4 linked regions of the Caenorhabditis elegans genome follow. The protein of the gene in region 1 purifies or fractionates together with the protein of each later gene. This does not show direct contact. Each region holds a gene or a part of one and is shown in the gene's direction. Other genes may lie near its edges.

The links.
Region 2: the proteins of snap-29 (region 1) and mam-3 fractionate together in Caenorhabditis elegans (co-fractionation; one large-scale study listed by BioGRID). This does not show direct contact.
Region 3: the proteins of snap-29 (region 1) and syx-3 purify together in Caenorhabditis elegans (affinity purification with western blotting, with the first as the bait; one study listed by BioGRID). This does not show direct contact.
Region 4: the proteins of snap-29 (region 1) and C32B5.15 fractionate together in Caenorhabditis elegans (co-fractionation; one large-scale study listed by BioGRID). This does not show direct contact.

Annotation. Positions count from the first base shown.
Region 1 is NC_003281.10:8,773,493-8,780,432, forward strand, and holds snap-29 (Soluble NSF attachment protein 29), read left to right. Parts: upstream 1-2,760; 5' UTR 2,761-2,773; coding exon 2,774-2,828; exon of another isoform or gene 2,829-2,884; intron 2,885-2,927; coding exon 2,928-3,262; intron 3,263-3,546; coding exon 3,547-3,867; intron 3,868-3,933; coding exon 3,934-4,056; 3' UTR 4,057-4,403; downstream 4,404-6,940. Other genes in the region: Putative NipSnap protein K02D10.1, read left to right, coding at 1-431, 820-992, 1,464-2,027, 2,331-2,395; K02D10.4 (uncharacterized protein), read right to left, coding at 5,109-5,345, 5,569-5,868, 6,254-6,520. UniProt on the Caenorhabditis elegans protein: SNAREs, soluble N-ethylmaleimide-sensitive factor-attachment protein receptors, are essential proteins for fusion of cellular membranes.
Region 2 is NC_003282.8:13,440,692-13,448,808, reverse strand, and holds the start of mam-3 (MAM domain-containing protein), read left to right. Parts: upstream 1-3,433; 5' UTR 3,434-3,542; coding exon 3,543-3,684; intron 3,685-4,403; coding exon 4,404-4,531; intron 4,532-4,962; exon of another isoform or gene 4,963-5,064; intron 5,065-5,307; exon of another isoform or gene 5,308-5,425; intron 5,426-5,493; coding exon 5,494-5,660; intron 5,661-6,048; coding exon 6,049-6,311; intron 6,312-6,550; coding exon 6,551-6,732; intron 6,733-7,805; exon of another isoform or gene 7,806-7,907; intron 7,908-8,117. Other genes in the region: uso-1 (Uso1_p115_head domain-containing protein), read left to right, coding at 507-727, 772-1,517, 1,941-2,084, 2,634-2,777.
Region 3 is NC_003284.9:5,345,785-5,354,074, forward strand, and holds syx-3 (Putative syntaxin-3), read left to right. Parts: upstream 1-3,313; 5' UTR 3,314-3,332; coding exon 3,333-3,362; intron 3,363-3,825; coding exon 3,826-3,933; intron 3,934-4,363; coding exon 4,364-4,550; intron 4,551-4,597; coding exon 4,598-4,774; intron 4,775-5,139; coding exon 5,140-5,355; intron 5,356-6,029; coding exon 6,030-6,232; downstream 6,233-8,290. Other genes in the region: C26B9.1 (PH domain-containing protein), read left to right, coding at 17-78, 527-701, 788-898, 973-1,158, 1,203-1,301, 2,131-2,178; pfn-2 (Profilin-2), read right to left, coding at 7,743-7,843, 7,890-8,061, 8,148-8,270. UniProt on the Caenorhabditis elegans protein: Potentially involved in docking of synaptic vesicles at presynaptic active zones. Acts in the intestine to regulate anterior body muscle contractions (aBOC) and the expulsion steps during the defecation motor program (DMP).
Region 4 is NC_003280.10:968,434-976,277, reverse strand, and holds C32B5.15 (F-box domain-containing protein), read left to right. Parts: upstream 1-3,327; coding exon 3,328-3,671; intron 3,672-4,847; coding exon 4,848-5,468; intron 5,469-5,515; coding exon 5,516-5,633; 3' UTR 5,634-5,735; downstream 5,736-7,844. Other genes in the region: fbxc-17 (F-box C protein), read left to right, coding at 1-20; fbxc-14 (F-box domain-containing protein), read right to left, coding at 767-905, 963-1,706, 1,905-1,975; C32B5.6 (Resolvase/invertase-type recombinase catalytic domain-containing protein), read right to left, coding at 5,759-5,833, 5,878-6,032, 6,189-6,252, 7,130-7,255, 7,342-7,400, 7,797-7,844.

The DNA of each region.
Region 1 (6,940 bases):
CTTGAGAATGACGGAGGTGTCAAATGCTTTGGAACTGGACCGGATAGTATTCGCGATCACACTGATGGAGATTTCATTCACAAAGTTGACATGTCTATTGCTCCAAAAGCCGTCGTTTGCAGTTATGATGCCCACTTCAGCTATCCGAAAATCATGAAAGCATCCAATTACCTACAAGATCCGAGTGTAGAATATCTCGTCACAAATCAAGATTACACATTCCCAGGTCCTGTTCCAGGTGTTGTAATTCCTGGATCTGGAGCAACATCTGCTGCTGTAACTGCAGTGACTGGAAGAGATCCAAAAGTTTTTGGAAAACCACATAAACCGATGGCAGACTTTTTGCTCCGAAGAGCTCATGTGGATCCAAAAAGGACTGTGATGTTTGGTGATCGTCTAGATACGGATATCATGTTCGGAAATGCTAATGGGTGATTATTAAAGTTTTGAAATTAAAATTATAATCCAAAAATATTCTTATTTTTGGTTATTTTTTATTTTCAGTAACTTTGAACTAGACATTATTGTCAAAATTTTAGGTTTTCAAGTGTCTGGATGCCAACTGGAGTTCATACAATTGTCGATATTCATAATGCGAAGGAAAAAGGACAACTTGATCGAATTCCGACATTCACACACTGCTTCGCTACTGGAGATTAATTTTGGCTTTAAATATTTCCAATTTTTTTAGGAATCTATCTCTCTAGGGTATATCTAGATCTTGATTTTTTCTTGTTGCTCTTCCTATTTTTTAGTTCCTTTTTAGATTTTTGCATTATTTTTTTTGTCAAAGCTCTTTAAATAAATGTAAGTTTTCAGACAACTATCTGCCACACCAATCCAGTGTCAGAATGAATCGGAAAATAGTGAGCCGCAGAAGCAGGGATGGATCAGTAGATTGCTCAAGGGACAATCAATGGATCCATCGAGTTGGCAGAAACAGTCACATTCGTCGTTGCTCTCGAATTCAGAGCTCATGTACGAGTTCATGAGTAAGTTTTTTAAAAAATTGAGAATTTAAATTATAGAAAATGAACCGTAATGAGCGAAAATAATTGTTTAAAAAATTATAATGATTTTCGGGAAATCAAAAACGATTTACCCGATTAAACTTTTTTGCAAAATTTAAAAAATCGTGTATTATATCTGGAAAAAGTGTGAATTTTTCAAAAATGACATATTTGGTCATTACGATTCATTTTCTGTCATTAAATTTTTGAAAAATGCTCTAAATACTAATTTTACTTATAACAATTTTATTATTATTTTACAGTGTTTTTTATTCTTCTTCTACGACTTCAAAGGCGCGCGCATTTATACGAAATGGTCTCACCACGCGCCACCCATTGATTTTAAAAAATGTCTTAATGCGCCTTTGAAGTCATAGATGAAAAATAAAAAATAGACTGTATAAAATACTTATTTGTGTCATATATTTAACTTTTTAAAACAATATTTTTCAGCTCACAACTACCGCCCAGGAGAGCAGGATGCATATTTAGATGCTTTTGGAAAGTATAAAAACGAAATGAATCAAAAGAATCCATCAATTGAACTTGTTGGATCATGGACATGTGCTTATGGAAGAACTCGTGATCAGGCAATTCATCTGTGGAGACATAACAAAGGTTATGAAGATGTTGATTCATCGATTTCTCTTCATGGAAAAGATTCTGGAATCCGTGCAGCTGATAATGACGTTGCTAAACTGTGTGGTCGCCGCAAGAATCTCATAGTAAAATCATTCAGCTATTGGAGAGAACCAGAACAACGACCACCAAATCATGTTTATGATCTTCGTTCATATGTTCTTCAACCTGGAACTATGATTGATTGGGCATCTGCATGGGCAAAAGGAATTCAATACAGACGTGAGGCGAATCAAGATGTTGGAGGATTCTTTGCTCAAGTTGGACAACTCTATGTTGTCTATCACATTTGGGCTTATCCATCAATGTCAGGCCGTAACGATACGAGACATGCTACTTGGGCAAAGCCAGGATGGGATGCAACTGTTGCGAATACTGGTTAGTCTGAAATTTGTCTTCTCGAATAATACAAATGAAAAACAAAAAATTGAGAAAAATTAAACAAACTTTTTTGTCAAATTTTAGAAAAAACCCGAAATTTCTGACTTTCCCGCGGGAAACCGGATTTTTGATTATTTTTTACACACTAAAATCTAGAAAATTTCGATTTTTTCTTGTTTTTCCTAATTTTCAAACAAAATGCCATAGGATTTTGAAATTTTCGCAACAAAAAACCGAAAAAATAACCTAAAAATCAGATTTTCTGTTATTTTTAACGGAAACAAATATTTATTTTTTCAGTGCCTCTCATCAAGAAGATGCAATCGAAAATTTTGACTCCAACCAAATATTCTCAACTGGAATAAACATTTCTCATGTTTGTCATAATTCACAAATTGAGAAATTGAATAGGTTAATATAGAAGAAATGCTTGTACGTTTTAATTTTGCCACACACATTTTCATTTTCAAATAGTCAATCGTATATTATATGTACTGGTGTCTGTGCTAATTTTAATTTCTTCCCCTCTCCCGCGTTTTCTCATGTATATTATTTTCCCCTCGAGTTTTTTCCCCACCACATTTTGGTTTCCAGTCTCTTTATAAATATTGCATATACTATTTTATTTTCACTGTTCATTTTTTTTTCACGCGGTTATATTACTTTTTCCGCCATTTGTATCTATTCTAAAAAGTTATTTATTCTGTTCATTTCGTAAACTTGAACTTCTAGAAACTTCATCAATGTCTCGTAATCCATTCGATGATGACTACAGGCCGAGTGCTGCTTCTTCTACAAGTGAGTTTTTAATTCTATTTTTTTACAAATCCATCAGAAAATTTAAAAGCATTATCTAGTACGGAAAAATTCTAGAAAATTGATTTTTCTCTGTTTCAGTGCCCGTAAAAAGTTACACTACGATGGGACATTATTCCGGAGAAGACGAAGCAGACTACTACGAGCGTGAAATCGAGAAAACTCTGCAGGAATCATTGGATAGTACGGAAAGATCTCGTCGTCATCTCGAAAATTCGGAGAAAATCGGAACGTCGACTGCTCAGCAGTTGCTTGAGCAACGGGAGAAGCTTGAGAATACTGAAAAGAATTTAGATGAGATTCATCGAACCACGCAAATGACACAACGCAATTTGAATAGTTTGAAGTCGTTTTTCGGTGGAATGTTCAAAAATAAATTCACGAAGAAACCGCAAGAGCCGACGGAAACTCCGACTGTGAGTTTAACTTTTAAACTGGAATTTTTGTATTCAGAAACTACAAAGTACTATAGGATTTCTGTAGTCTCAAAGAACACGAGTTTTGAGTTTTTGGAGAGTTGATAAATTTCTAATATTAAAAAATGGAGCATTGTTTTTGAATAAAGAAAGCGTTCAAAATCTTACATAATTTTAGTAGAATATAACATTTGGAACTACTGGAATCATTTTATTTTCGATATAAAAATTAATAATTTTCCGAGAATATACCATAATACGTCATAAAATTGATATATTTATAGGTCCCGCAATCCAAATCAGCATCCCGTTTGTCGGAAACCGCTACCAACCTCTCCAGCGGTGGTGGATCCGCAACATTCTCTGGACCATCTGGACAACGAACCTTGACCGAATCTAGTCGTTCGGCAATTAAAGGTACACGTTGGGAAGCTATGGATAATCAAATTGATGAGAATCTTGACATGATGTCCGCCAATCTTCGGAACTTGCAACGTCTTGGAGCCGATCTCGGAAAAGAGGTCGATTCACAAAATGAGATGCTCGATCGTATTCAATACAAAGCTGAACGTAACGATGGAATTGTTAGAGATCAGGATAAACAAGTAAGGATAAACAAGATACACGATAAATATATTAAGAGTTAACTCAACTAACTGACATATTTTCAGATGCAAAAGATTCTGGGAACTGGTGCATCAACAAGCCAAACTACAGCCGAGTCTCTGACCCCAAGCATGGATACTTCGACAAAGATGTCTCTCATGATGAAGGCCACGTCTTTGTGGAAATGATTGATTTTTTACTTTTTTTTCTTCCGGCTCACCGTCCTCTAGTGCAACAAAAACACTTCAATTCCCCTAAACTTACCTTATTTAAAAGTTTATTTCTTGTTCCAACACTCCACTTAGAGTTAAATCTCTGAACTTGAATCTAACACGTTTCTATCATTTATGTTCTTTCTTTGAGAAAATTGGTTCATAAATTGATGTGAAAAAAATTAGAAAAAAAAAAGAAAAATGTGATAGATCCAACCTCGAATTCCCCTTTGAACTTTCTATATTAACTTTAAATGTATAATCTGGATGCTTTTGTGTGTGGATGTCGCTTGTGAATATGTACATGAATATTGATTCCATGGAAATTGTCTTCATTTTTAAGTAACAGTCTTGAGGGGAAATATTATGACATTCATAAATATTAGGAAGAATATGTATTTACATTATGAGAATTCGTTCAGAAAAGCAAGAGGCGACTGTTTTTTGAGTTGTGAAATGTATTTTTGTGACGTATAGATTTTTGAGATGGACTAGAAAACTGGAAAAAGTTTTGGCTAAGACCACCGGGAATTTTAAGAAATGGAAAATGAAATGGTTAGAATGAGAGAGGATCAGAGAACGCGAGAAGAAAAATATTGGGAGATTGGATGAAATGGAAATATTTGCTTTGTTTTAATACAAAAGTGATATTATGGAGGCGTAGAAAATGAGAACTTTTGAATCGAGGTGCAACTGCGCTCCATTGGCAAATGAAAACGCTCCGCCCTCAACAGTTCGGTCTCGTTAGGAAAACCGAAAATTTGAACGTTTTTAAACATTCGATGTTGATGAAATTATTAAAATGATTGAAACGTTTAATTTCACATACATTTTTAACTATAACTGCTTGAAAAAGTTTGAATTACGGTTTTACCTAACGAGACCCAACGTTTAGGGGCGGAGAGTTGTTTATTTAGCCGTGGAACGTGCTTGCACTTTGATTTCAAACATCGCATTTTTCTGCGCCTCAATATACAATATACTTTGTATATGAAACAAAAAAGAAAAATCCTTCAAATTGAGTTTCTTCAGATAACCATCCGACAATCGGTATTCCGAATATCAACAGCCAACTCCTGGAGCACTTTTGTCAGTGTTTTGAGACGATCAGCTGTTGAATCAAGACGTTGATTAATTATTGCATTGAGACTTGAAACTGCATATGCATCAATTGATTCTTGTAGTTTGTAGTTATTATTTGAAGCATCTTCATCTTCGAAATCCACTGATGATGATGGAGATGAAGCCATTGATGAAGATGATTGCTGTAAATATTCGAATGTTTACGTTATAAACGAAAATACAGTAATTTATTGCAGGATTTTGAATTTGATTTGTCAGCTACCGTACCCCTATAACCTAACTTTTTTCGTGAACAGGTAATATTTCAGTATAGATACTTTTCAATGTTTAAAATATAATTTGTTACTGTAGCTTATTATAAACTAAAATAATTTTCTATTTAATATAAATTCAAAAATCCCTCACCTCACAATCACAACTCTCATCACACAGCTCATATGTGGCACACGGTGAGCTTCTCTTCAATGTTAATCGATTTTCAAACTTTTTAGTTTCTCTTCTATGATGATCGTCAACTTCAACTGGATGTCCACAATGATCAAGACAATATCTGACAGTTACACGTCCATCCATTGTCTCGAATACATGAACAAATGCTGTACAAGCAACTATTGAACTATTCAGCTCGTTACTTGCACAATCATCAGACATCCTGCGACGTTTTGTTGTCGTTGATGGACGGCGGCGGCACAGGAGGTAGTATTCCTGAATCAGAAGATTAGAAACAAATTTGTTAATTGAGTATTTGTGTGGTTTAGAAGCTTTTTGAGTTTGTTAAAATTCAATCTGGTCTCCAAAAAATTGTTTGAAAAAATACCGTATTGTCTCTATTTTCTCTATCTTCAACTTTGACAGCCTGTATCTCGGTTTTGGTTTTTCCTATACGAAAATTGTCAACTGACAAAGTATTTGTAGAATCTTTTTCTATTTTTCTGTAGTTATTTATTTATTTATATCTACTAAATGAATTGAGACATAACCTTTCAATGTTAAGTAGTCATAGTCATTTAGGAGCAATGCCACATGTATAAACTATTAAATAACAGTATCGAAAAACAATTGAAATATTAAAGTTTTTTTTAAAACTTACATCCTCATATGATGGTCCTTGACTTGATCCCAAATATCCTCCATCACATCGTGAATCTTCAATATTTGCAAGCCATATTTGGAAATAGGCGAAACTTTCGAAACATTTCGATTGCATAATCGAGTGAGTGCCATGGTACTGAGCCATATGTCCACAAAGTTCTTCAGGACTTTGAATATATACTTCTGATGATGGACAATGAGGACATCGAACTTGAATTGATGATGTACAACCTATGGATGATGGTGATGATGAACACGATGACATCTGGAATTATAAGCAATTTTTCAAAAATCTAAAGTCAGAAGTTGATTCAGAGAGATTCAAGCGAAAATGCGAGTATTCTAAAAAAAAGAGCTAATATCAAAGTTCATTTTCTCACGGTTTTCAATGACAAAATGTTTGATAATATGTATATGGTTAACTATCAACAAGAATCTGCTATTATGTTTCAAATTTCAGACGTTAAAAATCATTGAGCAGATGAAATTCAATATCAAAGTAGGTGCAAATATCAGACCAATTTCAATTGCTATGAAATATATCAAGTGATAGGAATCTGTAGTTATTCTCGAAAATGGGTGTTAAAGCTAAAAACCTTAGCGAGGCGTATTGGGGCGCCTCCTCGCCCACCTGCGCCCAGGACCCAATTCATGTAACCAAAAAAAAGTATGAAAAAGAAATATC
Region 2 (8,117 bases), on another chromosome or scaffold:
TTGAGGTTAATTAAACGTTATATAATCAAAAAACTAACAACATTTTTGATTTTCAGTCAGGAAAAGCATATATTTGGATTTTCCGTCGAGTTGTTACCAGCATTGGAAATTTTGTTAGTATTTTGATAATATATGTTTAATTGACTTTGGAAAACACATTTTCAAAAAAAAACTGGCAAAACTAAAGGAAACTCGTCGAAAAACCTGAAATCATTATCCAATAAAGATTGAAAATCTGGTAAATCGACACATGACGTCTCTGGCGCCAAAATTCGGCGTTTGAAAAGTCTCATTTAGGCGCAATTGAAAATCACGCTTTCAAGCTGAAATATAAAATCAGGGAAATTTTTTTGGAATTGTTCATTCAAATATTCGGAATCAGCGGAAATTTGAAGTAATTTAAAAATATTTTTGAGATTTCGGTACTGCACCTTTAAATTCATAAAAAAAATTAACTATAAGAATTGAATTTCCCAACAAAAAAAATTCACCGTTGTTTTTTTCAGCGAGCAACTTCTTCGAGTAAACCTCACCGTAGTCACAGAGGATCCTCCATTGACACTTTTAAATCATGTCTGCCAACTACTTGTTTCTACTGGAAATCGCCGACCACAGACCAGAGCCGGACTCCTGATGCTCCTGGGAACGTGGCTTCAAAATTGCCCAGCCGCAGTTTCCGATTTTATGGCTAAAGACGAGCATATACAGTATTTGACAACTAATTTAGGTGGGAACGGTTATTCAATTTTAAATAATTTTCAAAAGTTTAAGTGGATGAATGTGGTGAAGGATCGGAGAGTGAGCAGCAGGTTCTACGAGGACTCATGGCTTTTGTTCTACTATCGTGCTTGAAGAATTTACAAAGTAAGGAAGCACGATCATCGATGGAAATATTGATTCAAAGACGTGTTGGAAAGGAATTGATTCTGTCCGCATTGGAGGGACTTTCAAGAACCGAGCAATTTGTTAGAGCAGCACAAAAGCAGCAGCCGACAAATGAGCTTTTCCTCGATTTCCACTTTGTTAAACTTTTCAAATCTCTCGAAGGAACGTTGGCTAAGCAATTGAAACCGAATGGAGAATTTAATGGAACTAGCAATGATAGCATCATTCAATCATATAAAGAACTCATAAAACGGCAAGATGGTGATATTGCCCAATTGAAGCAAGACAATAAGCGAATGAGTCTTGAGATTGAGAAATTAAATGCAGAAGTTCAGAATAAGCAAATGGAACGAGAAGTTGAGAATCTTCGTGTGAGATTAGAAGAATCTGAAGCATTTAAAACTCAAAATGAAGTGCTGAATAGTCAGCTAGTAGAGTCACAGAGACTCACACAACAATGGTATGCAGAAGCCGAACGATACAAGCAATGGGCTCAACAATGGCAAGCCTATCAGTTGGCACAGCTTCCGAATGGTGTAGAGACGGGATTGGCTCAGCTTCAGCAACAAGTCAACGAGTTGGAGCAGCAACTCGGATTTGGATATCAGGCATTCGAACAGCAATCACAAACGGTATGGTAGACAGGAGATTTTATCAGAAAATCGAAAAATCGAAAATTTTCGTTTTTTCGAAAAAAAAATTTGTCGATTTTTCAAAAATTAGCTTAAAATTTTGGTCAGGGTTCTTCTTTTTTTGATGAAAATATTTATTTTTTTTCTCATCAATAAAACAAAAATTTGATTTTGTAAAATCATATTTTGTGGTTAATTTTCGGAAATTTTTTTCGATTTTCCGGAAAATCGAAAAATCGAAAAATGACACAATTGGATCAAAAAACTAAACATTTAAATCTGCGAAAATCAAAAAAAACCAAAAAACAATTCGATGCTTAAATTTATTCGAAAAATTTTTTTTCGGCTTCCGTTTGGTCTAAAATAAAAAAAATAACCAAAAAAAAATAAAATAACCATAAAAATAAAATTTACATATTTCAGATGCTCCACTATACATCAGAGAATGCAAATCTTAAAGATAGACTCGCGAAAACGGAAGCTGCTCTCGCTGAAGCCAATTATAAAATTGAGCAATTGAATTTGAAGCCAATTTCGAATGGAATAGTTGTGGAGCACGAACCACAGGTAGAATTCGAGTGGAATTTTCGAAATTTCAGGAATTTCTAGAAAAAACACTGAAAAAGTATAATTTTATTGGAAAAGATGGAAAATCTTACCAAAATTATCGATTTTTTCATTAAAAAATCGAAAAAATGTGTAAAATTTCAGTTTTTCGAAACCTTGATTTTTTAACAGATTTCTTTTTTTTAAGAAGGAAAAAATATATATATATATAAAAATAGTTATATATTTGAGGTTAATTTGAGCAAAACTTGATAAAATTTCAATTTTTTTTTTGAAAAAAGCTGAAAAAATAATAAAAAATTCTAAAAATATCAAACACTTAAAATATAATTTTTCTATGAAAAAATTAATTATTTCGTTTTTCAAAAAACTACTTTTAAATTTTGGTTCGATTTTTTCTGAAGAAATTATTTTTTGCTACAGATTTTTCATCCACTTTTTCATTTTTTTTTCAATTTTCTCTGGAAAAAAACTAAAATAAAAACGTTTCGATGAGTAGCTTTTGAGCTTTATCTCAGTGAAAATAATTCAAACATTTCAAATTTTCAGGCTGACTCCGAAGAGTTTTCAAAACTGAAACAAGAACAAGAAGAACTTCTGATGCTTCTCGCTGATCAACACAATAAAATGTCAGCCTACCGACGCCTTCTTCGAAACCTAAAACAGCCAGTGACAGATGATGAGGACGAGTAATAAGGCTGTGGGATTACTAAAAATCGGGTTTCTTTTTTGTTTTCTTTGGGGGGTCAATCTTGTCATAGAACATGTAATACTTCCAATCAACTTTTCTTTTTTTAAATCGAATAGGTTTCCTGTATAATATTTAATTTATAACGCATACACCGTACTTTCGCAGGATTTTTTAAGTGTCTTCTTAAAGGCGCACAGGTTTTTTTCAGATATGTTTCGGCTTTCTTGTTTTTTTTTCTCAAACTGATTTAAAACAATTTTTAACTTATGTGATAAATGCAAAGAAAATAAACAAAATTAAATACCATAAAAATTTTTTTGGGCTCGCCGAGACCCATAAAACCGTGCGCCTTTAAGAAGACATCTCAGAGATCTTGTAAATCTACGATATCGTATTCGCCGTGATTTTGCTGGCAAAATATTTTCTTCCTGTTTTTTTTGTATCCCTACCTACTCTTTCCATTTCGTTCAAACCACACTGTCTTCTGTGATACCGAAATTATGTTTTTTTTTTCCTTTCAATTTTATTTATGTAAAACTTAATAGTAAATATGGTCCAAATAAATTATTGATTGATTCCGAAATCCATCATTCTCTCTCTCAGGTTGAATGGGGATTCGGTGAATGATCAAATGATATAACGAACCCGTCTATTCTCCATATCAATAGTGATTCGGAAGCCGGTTCGTTCCTCTCGCCTGCTTCTCCTGGCCCGCGCATCTGCCATTGTTCTTCGCCTGTACACACCCTTTTTGCCTCTCGAAAATAATGATCTGGAAGAAATTTGCACTTTTGCTCATTTTTCTACCATCTCTAGAAGCATGTCATGCTCAATTTCAAAAAGAGCTTCGATATTTAGACTTGTATCTTGGTATTAGGCCAGATAATAATGGAGAGATTCCTGTGGAAGGTTGGTTTTTTGGTTTTTTGAAGGAATTTACTGTTTTTTGCTCCGAACGAAAAAAGTCTAAATTTTCGATTTTTTGGAAAAATTCAATTTTTTTTCAATAATTTATGGCCACATCCCGATTTTTTAAAAATGTTTTTTTCAACATTTTCCAGTTTTTTTTGGATTTACTCTGAATTTTGACGAGATTTTTTTTTCCAAAAATTTAAGCTTTATCGGAAATTTACTTGATTTTGTAGTTCCTTATTAAAGGCGCACGGAATTAAAAGTTCGCGGTAGTTTAATTTTTATTTAAACTTTGAAAACTGATTGTCAACGATTTATTACAGCTGAAAACCATGTGATTTCATTGAAAAAAAATACAATACTACATCCAATGAACAAATAAAACTACCATAAACTTTTTTGCGCGCCGAGGCCCGTCTGAATAATTCCGTGAGCTTTTAATGAAGTACTTCAAAATCTACAGTAGTACAGTAGTAGTAAAATTACGGTATTTTATCCAGATTTCGCTAATATTTCGCTAATTTCTGTAACAAAAGTATGTAACAACAATAAATCAGCCGATTTTTACTTTCATAAAAAATCTGGTTTTAGATTCGTTCTTAAAAATTAGTGATAAATAAGCAATTTTAATGTGAAGTGTTTTTTTGTTTTTAAACAGCTAAAATTATCAAACCACGAGGATCTGCAAAAAAAAACCACAATCACGTGGATTTCAGAGGCCGTTGGATTTGCCACGTATATTGAGTCACCTGATGAACTCAACTGTGACTTTGAGACCGAATGTCTTTGGAGAAATGCGCCGACTGATAAGCTTTTGGATACCAGTGATTGGTGGTATTTTAAGGTTTGTTATTCATGAAAAACTTTCCTTCAAATGTCTTGTGCCATTCTATTCTTTTTTTGGAATATAAAACCTTTTCTGAGTGGGTCTTGTCACGATCTCAGTTATAGATTTCGCTGAATACAAACTTTGAATGTGGTATAATTGTTCAATTAGAAATAAAAATGTATGTGAAATTCCATATCCTACGCTATATGTAGGCCAGGGTATAATATACAATATTTAGCTTTCAGTTTTGAGACGAATAATATGTAAAAGATACCAACTAATTTTGGCAACTAATTGGTTTTATGAACTAGTTTTAACTGAAAGTTTCAAAAAAAAAACATTTCAAAAACTCGATTGAAAGTGGCAACATTTCGAGAATTTATTCAGACAATTCAATTATACAGTTCAACTTTAGAACCATTGGAAAGTTCACCAAAAATTATAGAAAAAATTTGGAACGCTTCACGAATTTGCGTGTCATCCTTGCGCAGGGGCCATGCTAATCTTCTCTGTATTGTTCCAATTTTAGTATATGTTCTCGGAAGAACGAACAGTTAGATTTACATTTCAATTATATAGGGACCATTTACACAGCAGCTGACATATTTGGAGTTATGTAAGACACTATGACTATGCTAGGGAAGTGGAGATGCAAATCGATATTGGTATCGCTATAGAATAGGTGCACAAATTATTGATCTACATCTACATTTGGTATAGTGTCTTACATAACTCCAAATATGCCAGCTGCATTGTTAATGGTCCCTATATAATTGAAATGTAAATCTAAATGTTTGTTCTTCCGAGAACATATACTAAAATTGGAACAATACAGAGAAGATTAGCATGGCCCCTGCGCAAGGATGACACGCAAATTCGTGAAGCGTTCCAAATTTTTTGACGATTTTGTTAGACAAATCTATAAATTCTATACTTACAATTTTTCAAAACTTTTTTAAAAAATTAAACAATTTCAGAAAAATGACGAGAAAACTTTCCCAGTTCAAATCCAGCCCGGAAATCCTGTAATTCCAAAAGGCGAACATTTTATAATTGCTGGAAATACGACGAAAAATCCGAATGGAGCAGTGTTGAGCAGTGCTCCAATTGCTTGTCAAAAAGGATTTGCCAACTTGACTTTCAGGTATTGTCAAAGATAATTTTAAGAATTTTAAGCACAAAGTTGGAGGGCCTAAATTTTTTTTGAAATAAAATGTGTTTGCTCTTCTTTGAAAGCTTAGATCTCTACTGTCTTTGCATTTTTTTTAATATGTAAAAAACGAACTAAGCGTTCTTCTATGATTCAATAGTTTGAAAAATGCTGATATAAAAAAAAAAAATCGAAATTTTTAGTAATCTTTATATGACGCACAATTTCTCGTTTTTACTACAAAAATATTGCTATTTAATATTTTCATATTAGATTTGAGTTGCCTGAGTAAAAGCTCACAAAGTATGCGATCGGCAAAATACTGTGCTCTAACTAACATAGATTCCAAAATAAAATTATAATCCCAGTTATATCCTTCTAGCTTCTGGCTATACAACAATGCTCAAGTGGAAGTTATCATCCTTCGAGCAATGAATCGTAGACGTCATCTTCAAGTCTTGCTCAGACCAAAAATGAAGTGTGATTTCTTGGGAGCCGCCAATGAGGAATGTCGTGTCGAGATTCCGCCGATTAAGGAACCGTTCAGAATTGGAATTCGAGCATTTGATCTCAAAGATAATACTGTTGGAAGTTTGGCAATCATTGATCATATCAGATATCACGGAAAGATTTGCCAGCAATCACGTAAGTTTTAAAGTTATTCGAGATATGAAGCAGTCAAAATCAAATTGGCGCGCAAAAAAAACGATATTTTTAATCCTTTTTTAAAAGATTTTGTTCTGTAAATTTTTCAAAATAAAACTAGATTTGTTAGAGAAGTTTTAAACTTTCACTGAACATCCAGAAAAATCCAATGCCTCACTCTTCATAATCTAACAAAATATCTCAATCACTCCCATTTTACCTAAAATTAATTATTCCAGCATTCCCATCATCATTCTCATCTCTTCGTATTCCTCCATATGATAATAGTCCACTTCAAAGAATGTCTGATTTGAGTTGTGAACGCCCGCTACGATCCTGTCGATGGGGAAATATGGCCAAATCTCAATTAAGTGAATGGAGAGTTGGTAGATCAATTGATCGATGGGTTGATATGTTTGAGGTTTGTTTTAATTAAATCTTGGAAATAAGATAATTTTTTAAACAACATTTTGAAGCATTGATATCTTCAAGCGAAATATGGGATCGAACCACTAAAGTTAATTACCGTATTTCCTCTATTATGGGGTTATTCAAGTAGTGTCGGAAAATTAAAAAGTGTAGAAAAATTACGTCACACATGTATTCAAGTAAATAAAAACATGTATTTAAATACATTTGTGACGTCACAAATGTATTTAAATACATTTCGCTACATTACTTGAATAACCCCATTAGTACTTCACCCCATTGTTCAACTTTCACAGCTTATATCTCAGTCATCGTTTGTCCTATTAAAAAATTGTCAACTAACAAAATATTTTTTAACTTTATTTCTATCATTTCGTAGTTAATAATACATTGATATCTTCAAAATGAACCGAGTTCAAAGTTAAGTAGTGGGGTGCAATACTAATAGAGGGAATACGGTAAAAACAAATTTTCGTCAGTATGTCAATAATTTAAAACCCATCCAAAGTGCAGAAAAGTGATGAAAAATGAGTTGTATGAAGCATTAGACAGGTATTCATCTCTATGAAGTGGCCTTTTTAACTGTTTGTTAAAAAATAATTGGGCAATCCACACGTTTTGAAAATTTCAACAGCTGAATACTCTCGGCCGACAAACTTTCTTCATACGTTCTTGGAATATTTCCAAAACTTCTACTAATAAAACTTTTGACTTCTTCTATTTAAATGTTTTGCAACAATATAGGCTTATTTGGCAGCTTCAGAAGTTTCAATCCGGAGACTTGCCAAAGTTGGCTGAAACAATGAACTCAAAAAATTTGGAATTTTGAAATTAAGAAGGATTATAAAAATTGTTCTATGTATAAATACACCTTTTCTTGAAACTTAATAATGGGGTTATTCAAGTAGTGTCGGAAAATTAAAAAGTGTAGAAAAATTACACGTCACAACCTTATTCAAGTATATAAAAACATGTATTTAAATACATTTTGCTACATTACTTGAATAACCCCATAAGTTGATGATAAAAATGGGCATCAAACAGGGATATCTAGTAAAATCGTCAAAAAATTTGGAACGCTTCACGAATTTGCGTGTCATCCTTGCGCAGGGGCCATGCTAATCTTCTCTGTATTGTTCCAATTTTAGTATATGTTCTCGGAAGAACAAACATCTAGATTTACATTTCAATTATATAGGGACCATTTACACAGCAGCTGACATATTTGGAGTTATGTAAGACACTATGACTATGCTAGGGAAGTGGAGATGCAAATCGATATTGGTATCGCTATAGCATAGGTGCACAAATTATTGATCTACGTCTCCATTTGGTATAGTGTCTTACAGGACTCTCAATATGTCAGCTGCATGGTAA
Region 3 (8,290 bases), on another chromosome or scaffold:
CAAAAAAAAATTGAAGTTAACTGGAGAAGACTACATTGCAACCATCAAGGCACTTATTGAAGATAGTCGGTTTAAAATGTGAGTTTTTGAATTAAATTCTAAAATATCACAAATATTTCCAGAAAATAGATGAATAAAAAAAATCTGCTTTATATTTAGGAATAGTTTTTTTTTCAACTTTTTGTTAGTTGTTAGTAGAAGTCGTTGGCTATATTAAATTAAGAAAACAATTTCTAAATCAGAGGGGTGCCGCTAAAATGCCCAGTTTGGCACAATATTATAATTCCAAACAATTTTACAAGCAAAAAATTCTACATAACCTTTAGAAAATGGGAATTTTTAAAATATTTCACTGTGCCAATAAAACGTTCCGCACAGTTTTGGTTTGAACAAAAAATAATGTATATATTTGCTATTTTAAATGTTGATAACGAAAAAATAATTGAGTTAAGTAACCTTAAAAATAATTAAAATGCTACTACACACAAATACCAAATATACAATTTGTGATTGTTATTTTTTCCAGGTTTTCCACGATATATTCCCGCCTGATCGCAATATGGATGACATTCTGGATTCTAACCCTAACGATCACTCTTCTTTTCCAATCAAAAGGTGGATGGCCTGTCATGATTTGGTGCCTTGTATGGGCGGTGCTACTTTTTGTTGGAGTGTACGCGTGTGCAATGATAAGAAGAAGGGTATGTGGCAATGAAAAGTTGGGCAGAGAGCATCACTGCTCTGTGTGAAACTTGGGGGCAAGAGGCAATGCATTTTCGCCTTGCAGATACGGATTGGACTGAACCACGTTGTCGAGAAAGCAAACAAGATAATTGTTGATCGACACTTTCTGACTGGAGTGGAAGATCGCGGACAATTGAGCTGCCACAAAGTTGTGGTAAGATAAGAGATCAAAGCAAATTTGAAAAATGCTTAAGGACAATTGTTACTAACTAAGAAAACGCATTTCAGATCCACTTCATCCGATTCAATGTTGGAGAATGTACTGCCGATGTTATCAAACAATTGAAAATCAAAAGCACTGGCGGATGTATATTTGGCGGTAATTCAGAAGAAGTCACCGATGAAAATATTGAAAGAGAAGCCGCATCCTTAATTTTGAAATATAGTCAAGAATATGTGAAAAGTGTTGTGAAGGTAACATTGAGCAAGATAATGTCTAAATTTGAAGTTGTTTTTAGAAACGGCTAATATTCCCGAGCAAGCCAATTCATGGAGTTTCCAACTACGCCCCAAAACACTGTAAAACGCAAATGTGCCTGTGTCAATTTATCGACGAGGTAAGCATTTTTTAATTTTGCTTTTTCGATCTAGAGTACATTTATAAATTATCTACCTTGATTCATTAATATGAAACAACCCTCCAAAGATTTTAGGTCTTCACAGAAGTCAATGTTTTGGTAAATAGGCAAATTTTTCAAAAACGTGGACTTTTCGAGAATTTTTGATTGAGCATTGCTGCATGCTTTAACGAGTAGCATATTTAAATACCAACAATTGAAACGCAATTAAGCTATATAACTCGTAGAGACGATGTTTTGGCATATTTGAAAATTATGATAGCTGAAAATTGTGTTTCCACCACTTCAAATCAGAAAATTTCAGAACGTTTTTGAAAAGTTTCACTGTGATATTCAAATATTTTAGCAAAATGATTTTGAAATAAAATCTTCGTTTTATTGACAATTTTTAAAAATTTCAGAAAGTTTTGTTTTTGACCTAAAACAGTGAAATGTGGATTTTTCAAAATTTGTGCTTTTCTAGAAACAAAAGGTATTTTCTAAAAGTCCACCAGAAAACGAAAAGATAATTTTAAAAGTGATTAGCATATGATCAGATGGTTTTTTTTGTTGAGGAACATTAGACTTTTAAATTGTTTTGTTTTGATCAACTAATCAACGAAGGTCCACTATTTTGACCAATTCATAAAGATTAAACAAAAATGTAACACGTCAAAACTGTTGGTATTTCATAGAGTGTCCTGAAACACATTTTTGGCTTTAGAGGCCAACGCAACGGGCTTCTGATGAGCTCCAGATGAGCGCAAAACCTTTATTTTTTACCTATATTTTTTATATGGATTTTAAAAATTCACAAAATTTATTTCAGAAAAAATTCAACGCAAAGCCAAAAAAGTGGTACGAGAAATATATTTGATTACGAGCCATCTGATATGTGATGTCATTCTACTTCTCGAAATTGCAACAACAACAACACAACCACAATAGACGACATAAACCCCCCGCCATCGCGAGCTTCCATGGGTCATCAATGAATTCATTCCTTTCTGCAACCCCATTTCACTCTTTTTGTCTACTTGCTCCCTCTCAAAAATTTCCCTTTTTTTTGGTTTCATGCTGGCCTTCTATTTCAAATCTCATTTATTGTATCGCGTTTGTGCACAATTAGTGCATGCGTCCGGAGCATGTTCGCCGCTTCAAATTGCCCACAATCTTCTCCATTTTCTGTGTTGTAGCTATTTTCCTATTTGATGGTGCCCTTTAAATACCCTTTTGTAGTTCTTGGTTAGTGAACTTTTTCTCTTTTTTACTCTTCTGGTTACTGGCTACCTACTCAAATAAAAAAGTTACATATATTGGAATAAGATGGAATATTCCAACAAAACTTTTACTTTTACTTTTTGTTTGAAGACAACTGGGTTTTTCTTCCAAATTTCCAATTTCTAATTCACTTTATGTCATATATTCTGTGCTGTGTGCTGCATGCGAAATGAGTTGGTTGAGACGAAGAAAAAAGTGCTGAAAACAAACAAGCCGACAAATTGTTAAAAACCATATTGTATTGACCGAGTCAAGCACCTGCAACCTCTCTATCTCTCACTTTTAAATTCTCCGATTTGCCATCTTTTTTGCGGCATAGGTATGACGAAAGTACGATTTTTGTTTTAATAAGATGAAAATGTGTTTCACAGTGGAATCTTTCTCGAAAAATCGTCGTCTGTTTCTCATCTTGTCAGTTGTTGGTCTCAATATATTTTTTCTCTTTTTTCCCTCAGCCCTCCCACACAGATGATATTTGATTTTTTAAAATTTCGAACATAGTTTCTCATTGCTATTTGCTCCAAAAACTATAAGCTTCTAGGAAAAGTTCATAATTCTTTTTATCGTTTTTACGCGAGTTATTTTTAAATGATAACAACATTCTTGAAAAATATAATTCAAAAGATGAGAAAAAAATATTATCAGCAAAATACTTGAAATTTTTCTCCCCTCTTTGTTTGGTTTTGCTTGTTCTACTGAAAAAAAATCAAAATTAATATAATAAATTTCAGGAATTCGTCGTAGTCAGAAATGCCTAGGGATCGGTTAAAGGAATTACAAGTGAGTCATATATTAAATGGGTTTGTTTTAAGGTGTAAAAACATGTTTTTAATGTTAATTATACACAAAACATTAAAACAAAAACAAACATGTGTTTTGCTGTTAAGTTTTTCAACATGCTAGCTATGAACAAGAACCAGTAAAATAACGAATCTCAAAAATGTATCTGGAAAAGGGCTGACGATTGTTCGTTTTTAAATTTATCAATTTTAATGACCCTCGTAATTGTAATTAGAGCGTAAGTATATGCAAAATTTCAAATTTATAAACAACAATTTTCCCAATTTCACAATTTTTAGTTTTTGCTTGTTTTGTGCTCTTGTCAAAAAAAATTTTGGTCGTTGTCTATTTTGGAGAAACAAATTCAACTTCCGAAAAAAAAAAACTTAGCCCTGTTCTGAGGGTACTCAAATGGATTTTGTTGGTACAAGTTATCTTCATAATAAGAACAGCTAATTTTCAGGAAAAAGCAACAGTTAACACTATACATGCATATAATTATGATCCACCTGCACGAAAATATGACGTGGAATCCCAACCTTTAATAAATCAAGATGCTGACTTTGAAATGGTAAGTGTTTTGTTTACAGCCTTTTTTGAAACAAAATCTTAAATGTTTGGGCATTTTGAGACAAAAAATCTAGTTTAAAACATCAAAACATGGAGTTCTGTAATAGATGATGCAAGTGATAATGAAACTTTATTTTGGAATTGCTTAATTTCTTCGATTGAGTACTTGTACATAAACTACGAAAATGCTCATTCTAATTAATCCAAAACACAGAAATGTCACAGAAAAGTGATGAATAGGCTCAAAAAGCTCAAACGCAGTGAACTAATCACTTCATCGATTTTCATAAAAAATAATGCCAAATGAACTTGAAATTGTTCAATTCATTGAAGTCGTTTATAAAAGAAAGTTGAAAAAAAAGTACAAAATACAAGTACAAAGCAACAAATAAATTAAAAACAAACATCCCAAAACTATACTCATTTTTCAGTTCTTAGAAAGATGTTCAAATATTCGCGGAGGATTAAAAAGTCTCGAGGAAGACTACGACGCAGTCGTGCAACTCCACGGAGCACTTCTGTCCACGCCTGGTGCGGATTCAGAAAACTCGAACAAATTGAAAAGTCACAACCAGATGTTTTTCTCAAAAGCGGAACAAATCAAAAATAGTTTGAAAAGTAATTGATTGGAATCTAGAGTATCTGAATTAGAAACTTTTTTTCAGTTTTATCGGAGGAAACCAGCAGAATACCAACTACAGCGTGCGGAATTATGCGTGCGAAAAGTGATCAAGTGAAATCTATTTACAAGACTTTCGAAAATATCATGTTGAACTTTAATCGAGAACAAGATGAATATAAAGAGAAGGCAAAGAGGAAAATTGTGGACTACCTAAAAATTAGTAAGTAGTTTACTGCTTTTCATAAAACTTTCGAACCGGACGCCCTGTTTTAAAAACTTTTTTTCCGAGTAAAAAAACCAATGCCCAGTTGTTTCAATAAATAATAAAACTGTATTGCAAAGTCCCGTAGTTTTCAAATTGATTCACAAATTGTAGTAAAAAATCGACCCGTAAAATGTCAGCTGCTGTATTTTTTTCAGAATAAAGTTGGTACAATTTTACAATATGGAAAACCTAAAAAAATATTTATCATATTGATGACTGAAAATATTTCGGAAAATACATTAACTTATATTTGAAAAAAATACAGTTTATGAAGATTTTTTTTTACAAGAATCGCAAAGTAAACAAAATTTTTTTTTTAGGAAACATGCAACTCAGCGATGAAGAGATTGAAAATGCAGTATCTTCTGGAAACCTTTCTGAAGTAACAAAAGGTGTGATGTTGGCGCTAAACGAGAAAAAGGCCTTATATGATGAAGTTAAATCCCGAGCGGATGAGCTGAAAAATTTGGAACGTCAGATGGGCGAACTGGCACAAATGTTCCACGATCTCCATATAATGGTTGTCAGTCAGGCAAGTATTTATTTTATTTTTTTCCGAAAAAAACCACATAAAAAGCGATCGCGTGAAAAGGAATAAAATTCATATGCATTTCGGGGAGAGGTACATCATTCGGCTTCAATTCATATATTATTGATTTTGGTAATTTTTTTGCTTCATTCTGTATATGTTTTTACAACTGTAATTTTTTAAAGTTTCTACATTTTAGGAGTTTTAAATTTGTTAAAAACAAATGCAACAAATTGTTCGAGATACGATGCCGAAATCAAAACGCAAAATTTTCTTTAAAATTATTTTTCAGTGCAAATCTAGACAACCTTTCACAATTATTTTCGAATTTTCTCATAGGAGCGCTATTGTGATTTCTGTCAGGAACGCAATAAAGAGAGGAGCTATGTTTCGACTCCGTAATTTGTCTAATTTTGCTCTCCCACCTGGACCTGCATTCCTGTTATATCGATCAAAAAATGATCCCCATTCACTGTTTTTGAATTTTTCAATGCATCTTACTGTTGCTTTCCAATAATCTTTTTAAAATCCAAATTATTTTTTAATATATGTTTTCAATATCAAAACTGCAGCTTTAAACTTTGGAAATATTGAATTATATTTTTAAAAAAATCTCAATCTAAAAACGACCTAGTTGTCAATAAAGTAACCATTTTGAACATTTGTTTTTGTTTCAGGGAGAGATGGTGGACAGTATTGTTAACAGTGTAGAAAATGCCACGGAATATGCTAAACAAGCGCGTGGAAATGTGGAAGAAGCCCGAAACTTGCAAAAACGAGCTCGAAAAATGAAGGTGTGCATCATCATTGGTTCAATTATAGCTGTTTTAATTCTGATTCTCTTTATTCAATCTGCCGTTTGCCACTTTACTCCTATTTGTTAAATGCTCAAACATATGGTTGTTTTGCTGCAAAATTGCGGCAACTCTGATTACACTGTATTTCACTGTATCTTTATTGCACATCCCTCATCATCACGACCAGTCACTAATTTGATCGCTTTAAGATCTTTCTCACTTTTTGATTCGTTTCTAATTTTTAATTTGGCAGATTTTCCAACTGATAATATGGAGTTCACTTATCCGTTTCATCGTTCTCAGCTTTTCTGCCGTTTATTGTGTGTTTTAATATTCAATATTTTCTCTGTGTGCCTTTGTCTTTTTTGTTGTATTATGTGTGACCTATGCTTTGAATATCAACAAGAATTGGTTTTATAATTAAAATTCTTTCAATAAAGAGAATTCTGATAAGAATTTCATTTTTTTTAATGTTATAAAGTGTTTTGAATAAGTTCTAGTAGTCATGAAATACAAAGAAAATTTTGTGTAACATTTCTCGAGAAAACACAAATAAAATCAGCAAATTCCAATACGGCAAATTACTGAGAATTTCAAAAACCATAAATTATCAAAATTTTTGCGTGCTTGAAAAATTAGGAAACTAGCATTTGCCGACATTGCCAATTGCTTAAATGTCGAGGAGCTAGCAATTCCCAATAGCCAAAAATGTCAGAAACCAGTAACTGCAAAAACTTCCAAAAAATATCCAATTGTCGTATAACCTGGTAACACTTTCAACTTGTCTTTGCCGAATTTTCCTTGATTCTTTTTTAAATTTAACGCACTTCATAAATCTTCACGTGCACTACTTTGCTTTCTTTTTCGATAAGCTTCAAATTAACAAAACCTAAAAATACGGTACCTTTTAAGAAAAGCATAATTTTTTGCATCAAAAATGAGCAGTCTTGTCGAGACCAGGAGGTACCATATTTCTGGGTCAAACATTAAAAAATTTTATGAGAGATATTTTCTCTAAAATCTTATGATTATCGAAAGCTTCAAGTTAGTCCAGTATCCATTCTTTTGGATCCAGTTATTCTTTGCAGTTGACTTCAATTTTTCCATAGTTTTCTTTCTCTACATTTATGCGTCTCTCATGTTTTATTAATGTATGAATCAGGCGCTGATCGTCAACGAAAATCGATTTATAAAATAAAAAAAGGAAAAATCCGTGTTCAAAGAATCACTTAAGAAAAGAATGGGATGAATGGGATGGGGGTGGGGAAATTGGAATCAATTCGGAATGACTTACCGAAACCTCGAAAATTGAAAAATGAAGTGAGTGAAAAGAATATTTTAATAAAAGAAAATTTGAGAGAGCAAATAGTAAGGAACGAGAGTAAAATATAGCAAGCAATGAATTGTTAATTAATTTGACCGAATAGAACATGAAGAATTGCGAAACACGCACACATAGACAAAAACGAGAATAGCGCAGCATAAGGGAATCGAGTTGCAACTGGTACCGTACTGCTTCCAAATCTGAAAATAAGACTGTTTATAGTAATTGGTTCATCAACTATTCCAACAAAAAGTATTTTGTTACCTTAGGTATCTAATAACCAGAGCTGGCCAGGTACTGGGCAATGTATTCGACGCCGGCACGGACTGAAGCCGATTGAGCGTTGTCTCCCTCGTACATTGCAATCACAATAGCTGAAAAAAAAACCATCGTTTTGGGAAGAAATAAGAACTCGGTCACCTTGGTTTGTCTTGGCAGCGAAAAATCCGGTTTGCTCCTTCTTTCCAAAGATGAGCTTCTCCTCGACGCGGGGAACAATGTAGTGAATTTCTTCCAAATCAGCGCCGGTTCCAGGCACCGAATTGATGTCGTTGAACAGAGCAGCAAAACGTTTGAGCTCTACCTCAGTAGCCTGAAATTATAATTTTGTGGTGATTTTAAATAATCCTTGGAGTTTTAAAAAAGTCATTAAAAAATTAAAAAAAAAAAACGTCTTACCCGGAAAGCGTTGGCATCCCCACTTCTAGCCCAAACCGACCCGTCGGATCCGATGATAGCGGCTCTCTTGATGGCTGGGCTCTTTCCGAACAGAAGCTTAATGTAGTCGTCCCAGCCAGACATGTTGTAGGTGTACTGGTTCT
Region 4 (7,844 bases), on another chromosome or scaffold:
TGAAAGTGGAAAGCCGATGAATAAACTGATATTTTTAATTCTTTTTTTTTGAGTAATGAATATACATATGAAATATACTGGTCTAGATACGAAATTTAGTCAATTTTAGACTAAAAATTCGAATTCCACTGGAAATTTTACCCCGGGAACTTGATCTTTGATTTTTTAAGAGGGGCTTTTGGCTCAACTGGGAAGAGCTAAGAGGAAAAATTGTATGGAGCAATAGGCCAGGGGTTCGATCCCTAACGAGGCATCACATTTTTATTATTTTTTATTATGTTCAAGGGTGATTTTGATGAAATTTTGGTTTCAGCCTAGGAAAATGTTAAGCATTTCAATGTTAGGATCAACTGGTAAGAGGCTAGAATGACCAAGAGAACCCCAATGTAATTCTTTCGACCCGTTGACAATTAGAGCAGATTTGCAGCAGCACAGTGGTGGTCAGCTGGACGTGGTCAAATAACTTGATCAGGTGTCCCTGAACCAGATCTCTAGCTTCAGAATTATCCTGACCTGGCATGCAGAAGCTTTTGATCGAGTATCTTCTGAAAGTGGCTCGACCCTTGCAAAATCTTCTTTTTTGGGATGGAGAGGTTTTAGAAAAGTTGTAAAAAGTACGAATCTTTCTAAACGAAAACTATATCAGACCTGCCAGATGTCTGCCGCTGTGATATTTTTCCAAAAACACAGAAATCCGATAGTTCTCAAGTCACAAGACAAAACAGTTTCATAGGAATTCTTTCATTTTTTCAACGATTAGTTGTTCTCAAAAAAAAGTAGGGAAAAGTCTTCGCCGCTCAATTTTGAAACCCAAAATCCATGCATCTCCCTGCTGTATCTTGCTGATAACCAATTTCGAGGTGCTGTTCTTCTTGATGGTGAGCTGATTGGAACGTCGAGAAGATCTGAAAGTATTCAACTTTAGATTTTTTTTGAAAATATTCAACCTTAGATTAACTTACCCATCTTCCAACATCGCTTTATACCTCTTCCTACTCCTCTCCATAACTACAAATACAGCTCCCCTAGTTGTGTCAAATGTATAATAAGTTCCATTTTCTATATCACTATCACCCATAAAGTATTCTATAACAATTGAAAAGCAGAAGTGTCCCCTTTCGAAATGTGCAGTTGTAACTCTCCGATTTTGCAGGAACGTCAGTACCCGCCTGAGGTTGTGTGGAGCTGTGGTTGGAGCTTTGAAGTGCCATTTTTTAGTTTTTCGGTTTACTATTGATGTAATTGGATTGTTATTAGTCTTCAGAAGGCTTTTAAATGGGAGTTTTATCAAGCTTAATGGTAGACAAGAGTTTGCAATTAGTGAACTAGCAGCCGACAAGCTCCGGGAATCAAAAACCTCCAAAACATTGACATTGATCCTGGCAGCTAACGGAACCCGTAGAGGATTTTCACAAGAAATTGCAAGTTGGCCCACTTTCACAGTTCTTCCTTTAAAGAGTTTGTCGAGAAGGTACTTCATAGTTTTGGTCAGATTATTTCTACTATTCCTTAGTTCGACTGTACCACTGATACTTGGGAATTGATTGATATCAAATTGATAATCAACTTTTCTATCGGTAACTGTAATTTGACAGGTTACCCGGTTAACTGTCACGCTGTTATCTGTTATCTTGAGATAGTGGATGTAGGAAGGGGTTGATTTTTCTAAGGTATGAATTGAAGGGCAGACGAGGCAGAGTTGGATTCTGAAATATACTTATAGTTAGGTAGGTTTAGCTATGTATTAAAAAATTGTGTGGCACTTGAGCAAAAAGCTTGAAACATAATGTGAGCTGTGATTTGGATGAATTTCCTCTATACCCAAAAATTTCAACTCCGAAAACTCCGTCATTCTCAAAACTCAACCCTCTAAATACGTAACTTTTCCAAGCCAAAATACTCACCTCAAACTTGGATCCAAATGCTTCAATATGAACTTCAATACTTGGTAGCTTACTGGTTTTGAATTTAACATAGTGTGCAGGTGTAACGACGAGAATGGCACAGCAAGACCCCACTGAGATTATATCGATTTTATATTGGCTGGAAATTAGGGCGCATTTGCAGCTGGGGTCATTTCGCTGAGCAAAAGGGTGGTACGGTTATTTAGGACAGATGGTGTTTTGTCTAAAAAAACAGGTAGGCAAGATCTAGTCAGAGTTTATAGGGCCTGGGGCCCTATAAACTCTCGGCAGTTATTAAGCTTTCAATTCTAAATTTCACTCTGTTGAACAGTAGACTCGTAAAAAAAAAGTGCTCAGAAAATCTAGTCCATCAGACCGCTCTAATTTTTGCAAATTAGATTTCATAAGAAGAATCTATACATGTTGCTAGTTAAAGGTGGAGTAGCGCCAGTGGGGAAATTGCTTTAAAACATGCCTATGGTACCACAATGATCAAATTCCTATTTGAATTACCGCCAATAGTTCGATGTTCGATGGAGCGCGCTTGCATTATTTTAACTTTTATTTATTAATTTTTCTTATTTTTAATTGATTTTTCATGTTTTTTTTTGAGTAATTTTACTGGAGATTTATCGAAAAATTCAAGATAAATGTAGATTGTTCACTAAAAATAATTGAAAACAGAGATATCACGTTTTTCAACGACGTTGAGCCTGAAATAATCTATTTCAAAGATTTAGATTCGAAATTTTAAATTTAAAATAATGCAAGCGCGCTCCATCGAACATCGAACTATTGGCGGTAATTCAAATAGGAATTTGATGCAATTCGAGATTTTTTCAATTTTCAAAAAATCATATAAAATTTAGAAATTTTTTTTTTAATTTTTACTATGATATTTGGTCATTGTGGTACCATAGGCATGTTTTAAAGCAATTCCCCCACTGGCGCTACTCCACCTTTAACCGTTTTCAGCGAAAAATTGGTCCTGCAAGTTGACGCCTCCCGCAATTCCATAGACCAGCGGGAGACTGCATCGGTGGGAAGACGCAATACGTCACATGGTTGACCCCTCGGTTGGCCAGCACACAGCTCCATATTTTTGAAGTTTTTAGGTACCACCAAATGTTGTATGAATGTTATATTCATGGTGCTTTATCGTTTTTTTCCCCGAAAATGTTGAAGTTCAAATCAAGATGAATAAAACATCGAGGCTTTAATCGGTTTTGCTCTGTACTCAATGGCTTTATTTTCAATCGCTGTTTTTTATGAGCCTGGCACTTATACAATTCTATTGATAATTAATCCTGCACTATCGCTATCACTATGCACAATTTTTTTTTTCAAAAAAAAACAATTACTTTTGTATTGAATTTTCTCTTTTCTCTATAAGTTGCTGCTTACCATTTCCTCTTATTACATAATGTATATAGTTTTTTTTTTCAGAATGCCCTTCAACCTCTTCACCTTTCCACTTGTGATCCGTAGGCAAATTCCTCAGGAAATGAGCTTCATCGACGTGCTTAACTTTTCATTTTGCTCTTCCAAAACTGAAACGTTGGCCAGAAAATCAATAAAAAAAGGATACTCGTCGATGATCCATTCGTGTTCGAATTTATCCGTTGAACGTTCTTACGTCATGCAAATGAAGGACATTAATAATTTAAGTGAACACTTATCGTTTTTAATTAGAGAAGCGTCAAGAGAAGACATTATTCAGCAAGAAAAGTGGTTTAAATTGAAAATTGGACAAACAATGGTTTACTGGTCAGTTCCTTACGTTTTGAAAATATACTAGCCTGATTATCAGCGTTTTTGAGTTCTCTTAAGCGCAGCCGAGCTCAATCAAAATTTTCAAAAACTGTACTTTGAAAAGTTCTGACCGAAAGACTGTAAGTATAGGGTATCCAATATGTCCATATTACACATGTAATACAAAAGTCTTACTGTAAATACAATGCTGGCCAAAAAGATATGCACAAACGGTTTTTCGTTTTTTTTTTTGGCTTTGTTTGAATGGCCATAATTGAAAAACTAAACGTTGTTTTCGAAAACTGTCAACTAACAAAATGCTGGTCATTATGTTGTTCAAATTGTCTGATAAGTATTATTTTACAAAAATTGCCTTGTAAAACAGTACAGCGACAGACATCTGGCTAGTCGATTTTTGACTGAAATCGTCTGTAGCTCAAGAAAAAATCGCTTCCATCTTTAGTAAAAATTATTTCATTAATACAATTATTTTCATGGAAGCAATTTTTATCGAGTTACAGACAATTTCAGATTCAAGGTTAAAAACCGACCCGCCATATGTTTGCCGCTGTAATGTTTTGCAAGGCAGTTTTTGTAAAATAATATTGGTCAGGAAATGTCAACAACATAATGGCCAACATTGTGTTAGTTGCCGGTTTTCGAAAATAATGATTGCTTTTGATTATTCATTTGTTTTTTTGAAGAATCAATAATTTATCATAGTTATGTAGGTCGTTTCACGCCTGAAAACAATACTCTGAAAAGTCCTATCATTTTTATGAAATATGATCCACAACAGTTTGGAATATATAGGCTTAGTTGTATATCATTCACTTCCCGGCGGGTTGAGGACAAAGTTATTATATGCATAGGGCATAAATGTTTATGAAGATCATGTTATTAATTCAATTATTCTCATGGAAGCGATTTTTTCTTGAGTTACAGACGATTTCAGATTCGAGGTCAAAAATCGACCAGCCAGATGTCTGTCGCTGTACCGTTTTTCAGGGCAGTTTTTGTAAAATAATATCGGTCAGGCAATGTCAACAACATAATGACCAACGTTTTGTTAGTTGACCGTTTTCGAAAATAATGATTAGCTTTTAAGTTATGGTTAATTTAACACAGTCCAAAATTCACGAAGCCCCGTTTGTGGCCAGCACAGTAAATAATTTTAATTTTGCATTTCAGCGCAACTCCGTGCCATGAAGCCAGCAGTATAATCAAATTTTATTTCAATGGATCAACCTTAAAAGTAGTTCACGAAATGCTTCGAAACACGATTTTGAACCTCCACCAAACACATCTCAAATCAAATATAATATTTTTTTGGAAGCAAGGAATGAGTCAACAAAAGATTCACCATTTCTCAAATATTCGAAATGTCAACCACATTATTCTAAGTGAAATGGTTAAGCTAGATACAATCCCAATCACCTTTCTAGATCAAATCTTTTCGACATGGCCGAACTTAGGCAGTTTGTCGTTGTATCCACAGATAGATGGTGAACTTAAAGATGAATGTGGTTTGTTCTCAATCAAGAGATTGTTTCTTGGTAGTTCATGTTTAATGGCTGACAGTGTAATCCCTCGATTCAAGGGGCGTCATTTAAGCGCCAAAAATGCATTTATTTCGTCTGAACAAGTTATGCACTGGTTGCACCAATGGACAACGGACATAAATTTTCAAAACATCCAAACAATGACCTTTTCTTTAGCTCCCGGCTACCAATTGAACGTGGAAAACATTTATCAAGAAGTTAATGCAAAACCATGGGATCCTGCCACACGACCCATAGATTATTGCAACGAGTGGGTGATTTGTTGGGGAACTAATCTGTAGACTCGTTTTTTTTCAGAGAAACTCTCGAAAAAATTATCAATTGTGAAGAATGGCTTGATATCTCAAGTAATGGACGACTGATATCAATTTTGGTCAAACCCAAGTCATTTGGACTGGTTCAATGGCAACTTTAAGTTTCTAATTTTTTGTAATCACTTGGTTTACATAGTGAGATGTTGTTTATCGTTAAAATAATCCAGATAAATTTACAGTACATTCCAAAAGAAGTAAAATAATAGTATTTGCAAATTTTTGTTAATTAAATGTCATTCCCGAAGCGTTCAGCCAGCAACGCTTTCACTCGCTCGTCGGCTTCCTCAGCCTCTTGATCGCCCTGAAAATTAGACGGTTCGAGAAAGAATGGCTATGTAAGCTCACCTCGGCAATATTCTCGTAAACCTGAATTATCAACTGAAGAATCGCTGCATCACGAGTCAATAATACTCCTTTGAGTCTGTTAATCAATAACTTGACCTCCATCGAAATGCGTGGATGGGCAAGAAGTTGGAAGAAAGGTGTAGCCAAGTCGCAAACTGAAAAAAAAAATTGATTGAAGCTCGGATTTTCGCTATCTTATAACTTCTATCGATTTTTACTCACTTATGAGTGAGTTTTAGAAAACGAAATAAAATTTATCGTAAGAATACAACATCAATTTTTTTTCAGATCAATTAGAAAAAAAAACATACTTTCGTGGAGCCCGCGGGAGTCCATGGTGTACAGGTCGACTAACGATGCCATTGAATCAATGACCTGAAAGAAATGCTTATTATATTTAAAATACCGTATTTTCTCTATTAGTCTTGCATGCAAGACTAATTGTGCAAGACTAATAAAGACTGCAAGACTATCAGGAGCTGCAAGACTAACGTTCGATAATCCAACAACTTTTTAAATTGACAATTTCTCGTCAAAAACTTGACTTGAAACAGTCTATCACACAAAATACATACTTTTTTTTATTATTTTATCAATTGCTTGAACACCTTAAAATTTAATTCAGCCGAAAAATGACAAATTTGTTTAAGGTTCCACAAAATATTGCTGGTCTGTCAGAAAGAGGGGTGCAAGACTAATAGAAGCTGCAATACCAATAAAGACTTCAAGGCTAATTTTCGATTGGTCCGTAGGGGTGAAAGACTAATAGAGACTGCAAGACTAATAAAGGAAATACGGTAAAGTAAATTTATACTGCTTATAAAGTTATTTTTTCTAAATATTAACATCGTTTTTTGTTCTTATTGAAAACATCTAATTCCAGCCATTTTCCGTTTTTTGTAGCATAGTGAAAACTCAGAAAAAGAAAAAAAACGATGTTTCGAACAAAGAAAAACCAATACTTATGGATTATATTCCCGCAACTTTCAAATTAGATTAAAGTTTGAAGTGATACCAACTCAACTTTAAGGGTTTTTTCTTGGAATAAAATTGGAAGTGGACCAAAAATTTTGGTTGTTGAGGCCGTGACGATTTTGAAAAAACAATAGTTTGTATTGAATTGATAAGAAATGAAAGGTTTTAAGTAAAATCACACATAACTCTATCACTTTTTTGAAAATCAAAAGAGTTTTTGAAATCAGGGCGTGCAAGGTTTTTCAAACGGAAAATTTATTAAAATTCAATGAATTACCACAACGTCTTGGTTGGCAGCAGCCTCGTTGAGAAGCGGGACAACTTGTTGTAGTCCTTCGGGATCATGTTGGTCGAAATAGGCTCCAACAGCATGTACGTTTTGATTGTTGAGGCCTTGGTGAGTCTGAAAAAACGTGTGTCTATTTCTAAATTTTCAGTTTTTTGATTCTTTTAAATTTTAGATAACACATTAAACTTATAAGCTGTTACCTCATTATACAGGAACAACTCCGGGATCATGATTTGAAGACGAAGTAGTCTGTTCATGGCTGAAATTCGAAAGAATTTTTAGAAAATTGTGGGTATCAGGTTTTGAAAATATGCAAAAAAATTGAAAAAAGAAGCAAAAAATTGTTAAAAGACCCTCTGTCCTTCTTTTTCTGTTATTTTACTCACAAAAAAACGATTTCTGCCGCACAAAAATGTGTAGATCAAATCCATATGAAAAAAATTTTGTAGATCAAAAGTTTCCAAAAATGGTTCTGATGTCAAAAATTATTGTGTATTCACGTTTTTTTTTCCAGTTTTCAATCAATGGTATGATATCTTGTATTTCGGTTATTCTCAATACTTCTAACAAAAAACTAATATTTTAAATTTATTTTTCATTAACTTTTCATGTAGTTTTAAACATTTTCAAGTTGAGTTATAATATTTTCACCTACTTATAAACATTTTGAAAACTCCGATTTCTGACTGCCAAATTGAGCACT